Linked DNA regions of Bombyx mori. The protein of the gene in region 1 binds, or shares a complex with, the protein of each later gene. Links are inferred from orthologs where the notes say so. Each region holds a gene or a part of one and is shown in the gene's direction. Other genes may lie near its edges. The genes, in order: peregrin and chromatin modification-related protein MEAF6.

The links.
Region 2: peregrin (region 1) and chromatin modification-related protein MEAF6 share a complex: the UniProt entries of both Drosophila melanogaster proteins name them as parts of the enok complex. The link is inferred for Bombyx mori from reciprocal best matches to the Drosophila melanogaster genes Br140 and Eaf6.

Annotation. Positions count from the first base shown.
Region 1 is NC_085122.1:5,168,040-5,174,911, reverse strand, and holds part of peregrin, read left to right. Parts: intron 1-192; coding exon 193-412; intron 413-1,141; coding exon 1,142-1,238; intron 1,239-1,825; coding exon 1,826-2,003; intron 2,004-2,765; coding exon 2,766-2,929; intron 2,930-5,309; coding exon 5,310-5,440; intron 5,441-6,872. UniProt on the Drosophila melanogaster protein: Scaffold subunit of the histone acetyltransferase (HAT) Enok complex which has histone H3 acetyltransferase activity.
Region 2 is NC_085128.1:6,603,057-6,610,602, forward strand, and holds chromatin modification-related protein MEAF6, read left to right. Parts: upstream 1-2,890; 5' UTR 2,891-3,088; coding exon 3,089-3,229; intron 3,230-3,295; coding exon 3,296-3,499; intron 3,500-3,578; coding exon 3,579-3,615; intron 3,616-3,692; coding exon 3,693-4,135; 3' UTR 4,136-5,065; coding exon of another isoform or gene 5,066-5,115; 3' UTR 5,116-5,199; coding exon of another isoform or gene 5,200-5,371; 3' UTR 5,372-5,929; downstream 5,930-7,546. Other genes in the region: osteopetrosis-associated transmembrane protein 1, read right to left, coding at 5,066-5,115, 5,200-5,371, 5,930-6,162, 6,444-6,745, 6,812-6,909. UniProt on the Drosophila melanogaster protein: Component of the Enok complex which has a histone H3 acetyltransferase activity. Might be involved in transcriptional activation of selected genes.

The DNA of each region.
Region 1 (6,872 bases):
CGCCACCAACCTTGAGATATAAGCTCTAAGGTCGCAGTATACTTGCAATGGCTGCCCCACCCTTCAAACCGAAACGCAATACTGCTCCAATAGAAATTCAGTAGAAATAGGCAGGGTGGTGGTACCTACCCGTGCGGACTCACAAGAGGTCCTACCATCAGTAAAAACTAATGTTTATAATTTTAACCGTAGGCACGTCGCGTGTTAGCAATGAAACGAACTTGGGCCCCGGTCGTGTTAGTACCGACTTTGCCGGCCGAGCGCGTGGCGGACGTGGCCCAGTTGGCCCAGGGTCCGCCCGCCGCCAGGGCCCAGCTCATGAAGCGACTCCTCGCTTACTGGACCCTGAAACGGCACAGCAGGAACGGTGTGCCGCTGTTGAGGAGACTGCAGAGCTTGACGACCAATCATGGTGAGTTTTCATATATTTATATATGTACTAGCTTTTACCCGCGACTTTGTCCGCGTGGAATAGCTCACAAATAATGCTTTATTTTAGAACAAATTTGGTTAGCATAAAAAACATTTTAGTCAGCCAACCTTAACATATAGACATAGGTATGCTATGGCGGACTTTTTTTAGACCTTTTTAAGGGGAACAATTCTGTCATACATTATTTTAGCAAAACTTTAACCTTTTCTGCAGCGCACGCGGCGGATACTTTCAAAAGGGAAAAAAACCCGATTTTGAAATATTCTTTATTGGTGCTCCGCTTGTATTGGTCTTAGCATGATGGTATATAGTCTATAGCCGTCCTCGATAAATGGGCTATCTAACACTGAAAGAATTTTTCAAATCGGACCAATAGTTCCTGAGATTAGCGCGTTCAAACAAACAAACTCTTCAGCTTTATAATATTAGTATAGACCAGCTAAACCACTTTACGCTTCGCTGTGGCTAGCTATGGATCTCTCAAGACTACTCTCGCGTTAGTTATAGTACCTTGAGACAATTGCAAAATTTTTCATCACAATCTTATGCTTTTGCAACCCAAAAAAGATAAACAAACCAATAAGATCAATAAACCTATGATCAATAAACCTATAAATACTTATATAGATTTATACCACGTTGTATTTCTTCAGTTTTTGAACCAATATGACTAGCCTATTTTTTTTTAAATTCTATTATTATTTACAGGCAGTAGAGGCATACAAGACGCAGCTGTCAATGTACGAGAGCTGTGTAATCAGTTGAAGTATTGGCAGAGAATACGACAAGATTTGGAACGCGCAAGGTGATTTTTAAGGGTTTTATTTTAACTTTTATTGGTTACATACATTTTCGAGAGCTTGACAATAATAATAATAAAAAAAAAATAACTAATTCAAATTATTTGAAGCGTTCGTATCGATTGATTCAAACATGACGGGACTAAAAATTTTTAATTAAGCAATAACAGCGTGGAATAAAAACCAAATCCGCCACGTCTGTTTTTGTGTGGTAGTGGTACCACTATTTCGTTGATTTTTATCGTGACACACCTATGCGTTCCGGATCGAATGGAGGCTGCGTTAACGTCTGAAATTCGGTTAACATCTCCATAATTGAAAACCAATAAACGGATGCAATCATTATAAAGATAAAAGATAAATTTAATATTCCCACAGAGGTATCATCAAAATCAATTCACCCAGTCAAAAGTTATGAGATAACAAACATAAAATAAAAAAAAACGTACAGTCAAATTGAGAACCTCCTTCTTTTTTGAAGTCGGCTAAAAATAAAACAAATCACACAATTTCACTCCTCGCGTTCCCGCCAAAAGTCCTTAGATAGATTGTCTATGTAACAGTAACATAGAGTCGGTAATGTTTTGCATAGATTGCTGTGTGAGCTGGTACGTAAACGCGAGCGTCTGAAGGCGGAGTACACCCGCGTGTGGGAGCGCTGCTTCCTTCACTCGCTGCGACCCGAGCGGGCCGTGCTCCACAAGCTGCTGCGCTTGTTGCGCCAGAAGGACTCCAGCGATATATTCACGGAGCCGGTCGACTTGCAAGAGGTAACTTGTGCCTGGGTCTTTTTTTATTTTTTTTTATTGCCCTAGTAGGCAGACGGGCAAACGGCCCACCTGATGTTGAGTGGTTACCGTCGCCCATGGACTTCAGCAATGCCAGGGCCAGAGCCAAGCCGCTGCCTACCGGTTCGTCGTGATAAGGCTATCAGGGCACGCCCATATATATATTCCTTCGAAATGTTGACCCTTGGAATTTTTTAGAAAATAGGGTACAAAGTTAATAAGAGCATACCGATTTTGAATTTTGTATACGCACTAAGAATTTGCGTTCAAGCCATTATTATCGTTTTATTAATTTTATTTGCATTACATTGATTCGCACATATGTCGAGGTTGCCCTGAATTGATAGTTCAAGTTATGTAGTATAGTATAGAAAAAAGAAATTTAGAAAATATATATATAGAAAATATATAAAGACAAGGGTTAAGTACTATTTTAGTTAAGTTATTTATTTCTTAAGTGGGTGGACAAGCTCATAGCTCACCTGGTGTTAATTGGTTACTGGAGCCCATAGACATCTACGACGTAAATGCGCCACCCACCTTGAGATATAAGTTCTAAGGTCTCAAGTATAGGAGAAGGAGGAGGAAATTCTTACTGGTGGTAGGACAGTGTCTTCATATAAGTATTAATGTAACAGAATTTCATAAAAGAAAGTTTTTTTTTTTTAAATAAAATACCCTAAATGAGTTGTTTAACGAATATGCGTCTTAAACTGAGTTAACATAAAGATCGTTTTTGCATAGGTACCAGACTACAGTACAATAGTGAAACACCCCATGGACCTGAGCACGATGGAGAAGAAGCTGGACCGCGGCGCTTACAAGAACATTGATGACATCGAAGACGACTTCAAACTGATGATAGACAATTGTCTCGCGTATAACAATAAAGATACAGTGTTTTACAAGTGAGCCGCTATACTAACCAGATATGCTAAACTGACTTTTTTTATTGCTTAGATGGGTGGATGAGCTCACAGCCCTCCTGATGTTAAGTGGTTACTGGAGCCCATAGGCGTCTACAACATAAATGCGCCACCCACCTTGAGATGTAAGTCCTAAAGGTCTTAAGTATAGTTACAACGGCTGCCCCACCCTTCAAACCTGGTGGTACCTACCCGCGCAGACTCACAAGAGGTCCTACCACCAGTAATTACGCAAATTATAATTTTGCGGGTTTGATTTTTATAACGCGATGTTATTCCTTCACCGTGGAAGTCAATCGTGAACATTTGTTGAGAACGTATTTCATTAGAAAAATTGGTATCCGCCTGGGAATCGAACACCAGTGCATCGCTCAACGACGAATTTAACGGCCGTCTGGTGTAGTGGTAAGTGACATGGTCACTACACAAGGGGGTCGCGGGTTCGAATCCCGCCAAGGGAAGATATTTGTATGATAAATATAAATGTCTTTTCCAGGGTTATGGATGTATATTAAATATATGTACATATGTGTATAATAAAAATCTTACATTTATTTCCGTTATCTGGTACCTGTAACACAAGTCTTTACGAACTTATCACGGGGCCGGTTAACGTGGCGTGATTGTTAGTAAATATTTATTTATTTATTATTTATTTATTAAAAAAGAATGCAACGGACGTCTTATCCTATAGGCCACTACGACTTCAAACGACTTTGACTTTAACGATTATAGTAAATTCGCGTCGTATAAACTGGATTAGATTTTTAAAAAACCATGATGGTAGTGCTCCGAAGAGTATTCATGCAATTTTAGTGACACAGGCCTCAAGCGTTGGAAATCGAATTATAAAAAAATGTGTCACGTGATTCATAAAGAAATTTTAAACTGCTCTAAATAGTAGATGACTAACTTGGGGCAATTTACAATTATCCTACTAATATTATAAACGTGCAAGTTTGTAAGAATGTATGGATGTATCTTTGTTACTCGTTCACGCAAAAACTACTGAATGGATTTTGAGGAAACCATACAATAATATAACTTACACACCAGAATAACACACAGGTTATAATTTATAAAGATATAGTGTGAATTACCCAAAAAAATAACGATAAGTGTCAGTAAGTAGGAAAAAAAAATCAGCCATTTGCGAACTATTCTGGTGTGCGCCGCAAAAACCGTTGGAGTTAGATGTATACTATGGAAATGTTTATCTTAAATAGTTCTACAAAAAGCTCGCGACAGCATATATCTATATTTTATGTATAAGCCATCATCGCCAAAATAGTGAACTGTAAATGCAATAAAAATTGAAGATCGATGTCATGTACTGTGTAAACCAGGGGCTCCCAAACTTATTTTGTCTACTGCCCACTTTGAGAATAAATTATTTTTTTAGCGCCTCCATTTTTTCAAATATATAAATATAAAATAACAAGTAGCTTTCCAAGCCTCTAAACAACGCCCCCATTTTTTTGGGTCTCTTACCGCCCCCCCTTAGGCCTGCGGCGCCCACAAGGGGGCTGTTAACGAATCAACGTCGCGTCATACATTGATGGCTGCTATGCGTCATGATAATCGCCTTATCGTTGCCGCCGCTGACTACTCCCCGAATCCTGATCATGCAGGAGCCAGTCACCGTCGACGCCCTAGACACGTCCTTACGGATCCATCAGATCCAATAACCTTTGCATTAGATGCCTTCAGCTCTAATACTAGGGGCAGGCTTAGGGACCCCGGTAACCGTACTCGTCGAACTCGACAAAGAGGTCGACGTGCAACCTAACCCATGCATCAGCCCGCTGAGTTTCTCGCCGGATCTTCTCAGCGGGTCGCGATTCCGATCCGGTAGTAGATTCATTCGCGAAACAATTGCTCTTGAGTTGTTAGGTCTCCTTCGGAGGCGCTCGGGCAGTTGTTAGCAAATCCCACCCCTCTTGGCTGAGCCTTTGCTCGCCCACCTGTCCTGGTGAAACTGGAAAGGCCTTCGGGCCACCAGTAAACTTTCAATCATAAAAAAAAAAAAAAAAACATTGATGGCTGTGATTGGCTAACGATGACGTCATATCGCACGAACCAATCACAAATCAGGAAACGCAATAGAGGCACCAATTGTCAAAATTAAAAAAAAAAATACACGAAGAAAAAAGATGGACGCGCATGTCAATTCTATTTTGTAAAATAATTAAAAATAATATAATGAGTATTTGAAGAAGTTAAACGCATTTATTCATTTTCTTGGCCACCTCAAGAGACCTCTTAAGAAATAGACGCAACAGGGGCGTTATCGCCCACTTTGGGAAAGACTGGTTGGTGTAAACGGATAGTAATTTTAAAACGATCGCGCTTTTGTTTCCAGGGCCGGTGTGAAGATGCGCGAGCAATGCGCGCCGGTATTCCGTCAGGCGCGCCGCGACGTGGCGGCCGCGGGACTCCGCCACCTCGCCGCGCGGTCCCGCGCCGCCAGCACCGACAGCGATCGTACTCTAGGTAACGAAACGTAAAAATCTTTATCGATATTCTTATTGTTATTACTAAGAATATTTTCCATTTTACTAACGTGGTGCACATCACAAGGAAGCACGATCAAGTATGAGTAGGGTTGTCAGTAAATTAAAAAATATGTAAAAATAAGTAATTGACTTCGAAATCTTTTTTTTTCCTACCTAAGCTGATAGCCTTGAGAGGCTATTTCAGCGTAACCCTAACAAGTAGGTGAGCTGACTGGGCTCAAACCTGACATCGTTGCTAACACTAACCCTAGCAGGAGCAGTGCTTCGCAAAATCTACCATCGGATCGGAAACGCGACCCACTGAGAAGATCCACCGAGAAACTCAGTGGGCTGTGTCTGTGGGTTAATTTACTCGCCGAGCCCTTCGTCGCAAGCGAAGGGCTTGACGAGAATGATGACCGGTACTTGAGGTACCTAAAAGCATCGTTAGTGGATCGAAAGGATCCGAAATGACGTGTTTCGGGCGACATCGACTGTTTACCATTCGGTCCGCAGGATCAGGAATGTAGCTACCGGCGGGCGGCGGCCATAATGGGAGGGTTCTCGTGTCGTGCCGCTTTTCTGAAAGGGCACACTGATGCCGACTGTAGATACTTACTGATGGACTCTAGGCCCATGTCATCGTGGAGGTCCACGTTTCTGATGAACCACATGGCTCCGGTGGCTATCCTGCAAAAACGGGATTGTATGATTTGGAGGGGTTTCAAGTTAGTGCGGGCCGCGTGAGTGAACACTACACTTGCATAGGTCTTGACGGGGCGTATGCAAGTTTTGTAGTGTCACCTTATTACGAAGAGACAATTTACTTCGCTTGCAAATCATCGGACATATACATCAGTCATTATTAAAAAAAACCAGTGCAACAAGTTGCACGCGAATTAAGTGAAACTTCTTTTTCGATCTGTAGTATTGCGGCTTTCTTCATTTTTCATCCTTAAATCAGATTGCTCTTGTAATAGGGTATGCTGTGTATAAGAGATGCGACATCTTCAACATTCATAAATAAATATATAAATATTTTTTTAAATACTTCATTAAAATATTGGACGCTACTCGTTGCTAACGCTCGCACTGGCCTGTAACAGATATACTACGCGCATGCGTTCGAGTGCCACGTATTCACTCTCGCTCTGTCTCTTTCTAGTATGGTAGCGTTAAACGTTTAACGCAACCTTGTTGGAAGTCACATTAGAAGTTTCACTTCAAATACAATCTATCTGGTGACATTTTCAAGGTGTAGGGTCTGTAAATATTTATATGTATTAAACTCATGGTCGGATATCCAAGATTTCAACTTTTACAAATGCAATCTATCTTATAGACTGGATTCAGAATAATTAATTGCCTAATTTTGAGCTTTCGCGTCTATCAACATTATCAACGTTATGATATAATCCATTATTTTAACA
Region 2 (7,546 bases), on another chromosome or scaffold:
GTTCTGATTGTTTACTTATACTTGCTTCAGATATATTAAGGGGTGATGTGGCAATACACACTTGCCTTGCCTTTGTGTTCCTGTGCTGGAGCTACTTGGATAGCTTTGTCATTACTACACCTATTTTCAAGTGGCTGGACATCTGGAAATATGAAATAATGTTAGCAATTTCCAACAAACGTATAGTTTGTAAATATATAGGATTATATGTGTACTGTCGTAGTAGTAGTAGTAGTATTTAACTTCCTAGTCATCATCATCAGCCCATATAATATATCCCCTTGCTGGACACTGGCCTTCACTACCATTGAGAGGGTTTTTAGGCCTTAGTCCACCACGCTGGCCTAGTGCTGGTTGGTGGATTACACACCTAAGAAAATCCTAAGAACATTTAGGTGTGCAGGTTTCATCACAATGTTTTCCTTCACTGTTAAAGTAAGTAAGTGATATTACACTGTGATAAATTTTCATTTTCACAAACTTCCTAGTACCTTATGTAATAGGAACTGAGATCCACTTGCCCATTTTGGCTACTTCCACTAACTAACTAACTATTCTCATTTTTTCTGATATTGTTATTTGATTAGGAGATCTGTGAGTGTAACTAATTATTGACAGTTACACCTACCTTGACTACAAGATGGCAAAGGTATAATAATACGACACATCTCATTTTTAGTCGTCTCTTCAATTTCCTTGATAATAGTGAGTCTTTGCCGTTTCACAAATGCAGGCCGAGGTTCACTATGATTGAATTTTCGTTTTCTATCTGCCCGACAATCGAATTTGGATGGTAAACAGTTTGGTTTCATTCGAATTCATTTGATGGAGCTCATTATCTTGTATTGCATATAATTCTCCATGTAGTTTTCCAGCTAAAACATGAAATAATTTTCCAACAATTTCAATACATAACCTATAAAAAAAATATTAAAATGTTATTTTACTAATGTTAGGAATATAATTTCGACTGTGTCAAAATGTTATTATAATGTATACCTACATTATCTCTTGAAAGATAAATAATGAACATATTTACTTATTTGTTTATATTACCTATGTGAACTCTTAACCTATCTTTTTTATACCTTCATAGCGATAGGTATATAGGAGGATGGAAAAAATGTATTTGGTCTAACTTTACGCGAATGCACATTATTTTATTTATTTTGTTTTTAATTTTTTTAATTAAACTGTATACCAATTAATTGATCCTTCAGGATTTATAATTGTTTTTTTTTCACGATTAAAACCGCGTAGAAAGTTTAGGCATTATAGTCACTGAGCAAGTAATCACTACGTTGACGCATGCGCCATAGATTATACACTTATGGCATGCGCAGTACACATATTTTGTATACATTTATTCAACTAATACAATTAATTAAACAAAAAATGAGTAATTTCGAAAGAGAACAAACGTATTTTATATAAGAACAATCGAAAATGAATATTTACGAGTAATTAAGGACGAAAAAATATTAAAAATTGCAATCGAGGGGCTAACTTTTAGATATATTTTTAATAATTTTTTTTAAATAAATAAATGGGGAACAAACAATTATTGACAATGAACAATCAAGAACAAATGATGAACAAACGAATTAATAGAAAATAAGTAGAAAACAGGAAAAAAAAATTTTTTTGAGGGGCTAACTTCATTCACCTCCATGGAGTACTTATTATATATCTACTTTTTTTTTATTTTATGACCTGGTAACAGAGACCTTTAGGTCATATCTTATTTGAAAAATGTGCATTACTTTGGGGTCACTACACTTCACTTCAATAAATTTTGTCATTTACATTATTTGAATTATATTTTTCATATAATTATAAATAGGTTTATCGGATGTTGGATCTTTTAGTAAAAAGTGGCGGCGGGCGAGAGGAAGAAACACATTTAATGCATTGGTATCCTCACTAGCCAGCACAAGTCTGAAATATGAAACTTTGGCAATCGAAAATAATGTGATGGATCGTCCCTTCCTTTGCTTGACAGTGTAAACATTGGTTGTTTGAAACAATGCCAAGTCCTGCTAGGTGTGACGGCGCAGTATTATGGCCAAAACTCAATCTGTTTATTGTTGTAATGAAATCTCGACTCTCACTAGTTTTCAATTTGTCATTCTTTTTGTATGGCAATTAACTTTATACGAAGCCTTTGTTTACAGTCTCGAAGTATTAAAAATCTTCAATCATTACATACTCTCATATAGATTCTGAAATTTGAAAAATGAAATGAAGCGAAATTAGATGAAGTTGATTTCTTTTAGACTTTAACCAATTGGGATGAAATCAAATGAAACCGGATGAAATAAAGTCACGGTAAAATGGAGGTTATTTACCGAGACTTTGTGAATTTTCTGGAAGAACCGAGAAGCTACGTTCAGCGGCTTTGTTTCATTTTTCCACATCTATGCACTTTCACAGATATTAAACAATTAATAAACCACCGTTATTACATATTTAAACCCAAAGAAACACTAAATAGACAAAATAAAACAAATCACACAACTTCACTTCCCGCCAAAAAGACGTTTAAGTAATACCGTACTTGTGTGCCTTTACACAGATATTTTTTCTCTTAGTTTTATCCTCGAAAAAGTCCACTAAAAAATCTCAGTGAACGACCACCATTTTACTGAGATTATATTTCATCCCATATCATCTCATCTCATTTCATTTAATTTCATCCCAGTTAATTAATGTCTCAAATCAATCAACTCCATTTTATTTTATTTCACTCCATATTATCATTTTTCATAAAAATAAGAATATAAATTAAAATAAGACATGATCTTAAGGTCTGAGTTACCAGGTCAGAAAATCCCATAAAAAAATTGAGTATACAAATTACAATAATCTGTGGAAGACAAGGCTTTATGTGCTTAGATCCCTTGCCTTTCTTAAAAGGAAAAATTGATTAAAATTGTATCAAAAAAATCTGTGGAATTTAAGGCAACAATTGCTAGAATAATAATTTGCGTTTTTGGAAATAAGTGGCACATTTCTGTTCAGAAAAAATACGCCTGTCTTAAGTGATCTGTTATGGAATTATAAAACACAAGTAACAACAATCATCAGCATGGTTATTTCACCACAAAGCCCCATTGATGACGCTCAAAGTGTGCAAACCAAAAGAACCAACATGGCTACTAAACAATCTTCAGTAGCCGATACTAGAGCTGAACTAGCTGAATTGGTCAAACGGAAAGCTGAAGTAGCTGTAAGTAGACATAATGACAGTCCTTTTGAGCATTTAATCTACCCTTCCTAATGAAAATGTTTACAGGAAACTTTAGCGAACTTGGAACGTCAGATTTATGCATTTGAGGGATCATATCTGGAAGATACTCAATTGTATGGAAATATAATTAGAGGATGGGATAGATACCTCACAACGAACAAAAGCACTAATTCCAAAGCTGACAAACGTAACAGAAAGTTCAAAGAAGCAGAAAGATTGTTTTCTAAATCTAGTATTACGTCTATGGCTGTAAGTTAATCTTTAAGTGAATTATTCTGTTTTATAACGTCTTAAAATACGATAACATAAATCCATTAAATTATTTCAGGCTGTTAGTGGACTTGTAGATGCTGCTGAAGCTAAAAGTAAGGATATTGAAACTGAAAATAATCAACTCACGACCGAAATATATTTTATTTTTTATAACAATTCCTTATTTCAGATGAAAGAAATAGTGAAACTGAATCGCAAACTAATGAAGACTCTTCAGACACACAGATTAGTTCAAATCTCAATCTTGGAGGTCTTAACCATACGACAATTCATGGTTCCACTGAAAGCATTGCTTCTAAGCCATCTGGGAAACAAAATACTAATGGAACATTAGATAAAACATTAACTAGTGCTCAAACAAAACAAACAGCTACACAAAAAATAGCTACTGCATCTGGCATGCTCCAGAAGGCATTTAGTAGTGAAAGTAAAATATTATCAGGAATGGGACTTGATAGTCGACCTGGCACACCAAAAGAAAAGGAATCTAATGTAAACATTATTAATAAAGTTGATTTAACACCAAACTCACTAAAACACAAAATGTCTAGTAGCGGAAGCAGTAGTAGCGGCAGCATCAAAAAGAACAACAAGAAAGCTAGGCACAGGTGAACATTATGCACTCTATCATGTTAATGGCAGATTTTAGTAGGTGCTAGTCTGAAGATTTATGCTGGGTGTAAGGAAACCATTCCCATACTGAAATATTAATATGATACAAATACAGTACATACATAAACATAGTGCAGATATTTAAACTTAATGCGAACAGTATATTGACTCTTCAAAAGCAAACGTGACTAAGCGACAATAACTGCTTTATACTTAAATGATAGGCAATAACCATATTCAATGCGCAAAAAAAAAATTACTTCTAGGTCTATTATAATCATTTCAATCATACAGCTAGATTTGTTAAAATATATTTTTTTTCAGGTATTTCAACTTTAAATTAGTCTACTGTAAAGTTCATGCATTGTCGCTTAGTCACGTTTGCCTTTCAAGTGTTGATATATTCTAATTCTGCATTAAAAATTCGAAAAAAACATAACTTTACCATTTGTCCCATATATCATTATTAAGTTATATATTATAAATGAGTCGTCTATTATCAAAGGCGGCAATCTGTACATTTGGACAAAATTTTTTTATTGATATGTCAATACAGATTTATTTGAATATAATCGTCTCCTTCAAAGAATACGGTTCAAAACCTGCATTAAATAAAGGTTAATAGTTAACCTGTTATTTATCTAAGATGTCGTTCCGAAGAGTTTTGTGACTGCCAATGGAATACAAAGTCAATAATTCGTTTTTCTGATTTACCAATCATTGTCCAAAAGTCAGATTGCCGCCTTTGATAATAGTCGACTCAAATGTCATTTAATGTTACTAAGAGCAATGTTGTAAAGTGTAATTTAATGTTTTTTGTAATAGTTCTCAACACTCCTTGTAGCAATGAAACAATATGTATTCTTTTTAACTAATGTTATTGTATAAAAATAAATAATGAATTGTTGATTTACATAAAAATATTGTGACCTAATTGATACCATTAACTGTTCTTAATATCCTTTGTTTGAATCTTGATTCTGAAATTATGTTTTGTTTGTATTAGTAAAATTATACCAAACAGGACATGATAAATAGATATTAAATGAGAAACTGATACATACGCTTTAAAATATTAGGTAAGTCCTTAATTGGTCCACAATATTTCACCATAATATAATACAAAACTGGTAAGCATGCAATAATTCCAGAACAACACAAAAATATTATTTCTGGAGACTTTCTCAATTTACAACAGTTTAGGCTTTTGCTCCATATTGATCTAGTTGCATTCATCTGAAATGATAAGGTAAATCATTATATTTTTAGTTTATTTTTTTGAAGTTGAGTCTTTATATGAGAAATCTCAGTATTCTCTATCAAATCTAATATTTTATTGCATAAATGTGTTAGCAAGCTCGTATTATAACCAGTAACAATAGATATCACAATGTGCACGCTGGCACCTGGCAAATGTGAGGCTTTTGTATTGTGATTGTATGATATAATTATTGTCCTATCCTTCCAAAACACAACACATTACTGCTCCTTGCCAGAAACAGGCACGGTGCTTGTAGTAGGCACTGTAGGTTTTGCATGTTCCCAAAAACTTTACCACTATTTATATTTCTTATTACTATTACTCCATCATAAAAAATGGAAATTGGCCTTTGATGTCAACTATGGCATAGTTTGTTGCATTCATGTGAGTAAATTGGCTGACAATAATTGGTGTTCATTATGACTTATATTTTATGTAAGAAAAAATATTATGCATTATAGACATCTATTTGCATTTGCAAGTAAATTAAAAGAATTACTTGATTACTTCATTGTTACAATTAGTGTACTTACAGAATCAATAACATCCATGCATATAATATCCAGCCCTATTCTGTCAAAACTAAGAGATTCATAATAGTTATTCAGCTGTATGTAGCTCTGCATACAGTTCTCACACACTTTTGTACTATTCTCTTTGGGATTTATATTGTCTTCAATACATTGCATTGTTTCATTAAAAATTTGATAAAAATGGTAAGTTTTATTTGAAATTTCTGGTTTATCTTTAGTCCAGTTAAAACAATCTAAAATGATAAAATAAACATAAACAGACATGTATCTCATGCATTGCATTTAAGGAACCTTACTAGATAGCTCTCACTCTACTTTTATTCAGATACTTATAAAAGAAATAAAAAACAAAAGCATTAAAAGTTTTCACCGGGTAACATAAAATAAGGAAATGTATTTACAAAAAAAAATTGGAAAATCTTTACGTTGGCACAAACAAAATAGTGTCAACCATCTCCACAAGAATGACTTGCTTGAACTTGCAAGTTTTTTAATATACAGAATATATACGTACCATTACAATTTCCTTTGTTCCAAATAGCTAATATGTTATCATGATAATTCAAAACCACCTCTAATCTATCATGAGAAATAAAGATGGTTTCACATGAAGTTCCATTTAAATTGGTTTGAAGTAAATTTTTATAGCTCTCACGAAATTTTACATAATGATCAATACATTTTTCACATAGTCTTATCGGTCTCGCATGTTTGATTGAGCATTTTGTAAAATTAGATGCAGAATCCGCAAATTCATCAAGTAATTTCGTACAAATACTAGGATTCGCAAACAAATACCCCTCACCATTGTATTTTCTGAAAATTATTATTCATGTTACTCGGGCAAACGATAACTATGAAAATTTCCACCCCTAAACATACAATTTATAGCTTGTTACAGGCAATTCCTTTCCATCTCGATAATCTGCAAAATTACCGTGAGCAAACATCACAGCTAAGAAAAAATACACTGTTGTCATAGTTTTTTTTTTATGCAATGTTTTAATGTCTCCGTAATTTAATTTTAAAACAATTTTTTGTTATGATTAGATTTCAATTTGGTTAGCATAGACATGTCAAAATCAGAATTAGGGGTGAGGCGTATTTATCGGAATAGTCAAACTGAACAGGTTCGTCTAAGAAAAAACTTGGAACTGTTGTATTGACCGAAACAGCTGTTCCACAATTTTCCATTTGTTGCGTTGTTCCATTCCACAGCAAACAGTTAGAAACGAAACAGTTTGGAAGCTCTTTTCCCTTTTCACGTACAAAAATAGAAAAAGATAGCATATACATCCTGTTCCCAAACAGTTAGTAACATGCTCTTTTGTCCATACACTTATTGTAATAAAAAAGATAGCACTAACATTAACATGCATGCGTGTCCTAGTTTGGTATTAGGAAATTTTATAAATATTTTTTGTTTAGATGCGTGAACGAGCTCATAGCCCATCTGGTGTTAAGTGGTTACTGGAACCCATAGACATCTACAACGTAAATGTGCCAACCACCTTGATATATAAGTTCTAAGGTCTCAAGTATAGTTACAACGGCTTTTTTTTCTTTTTCGGGCGGGGGCCGAACCTTCTACGAGGTCTCCGCGCCTAGGGGGCGCGC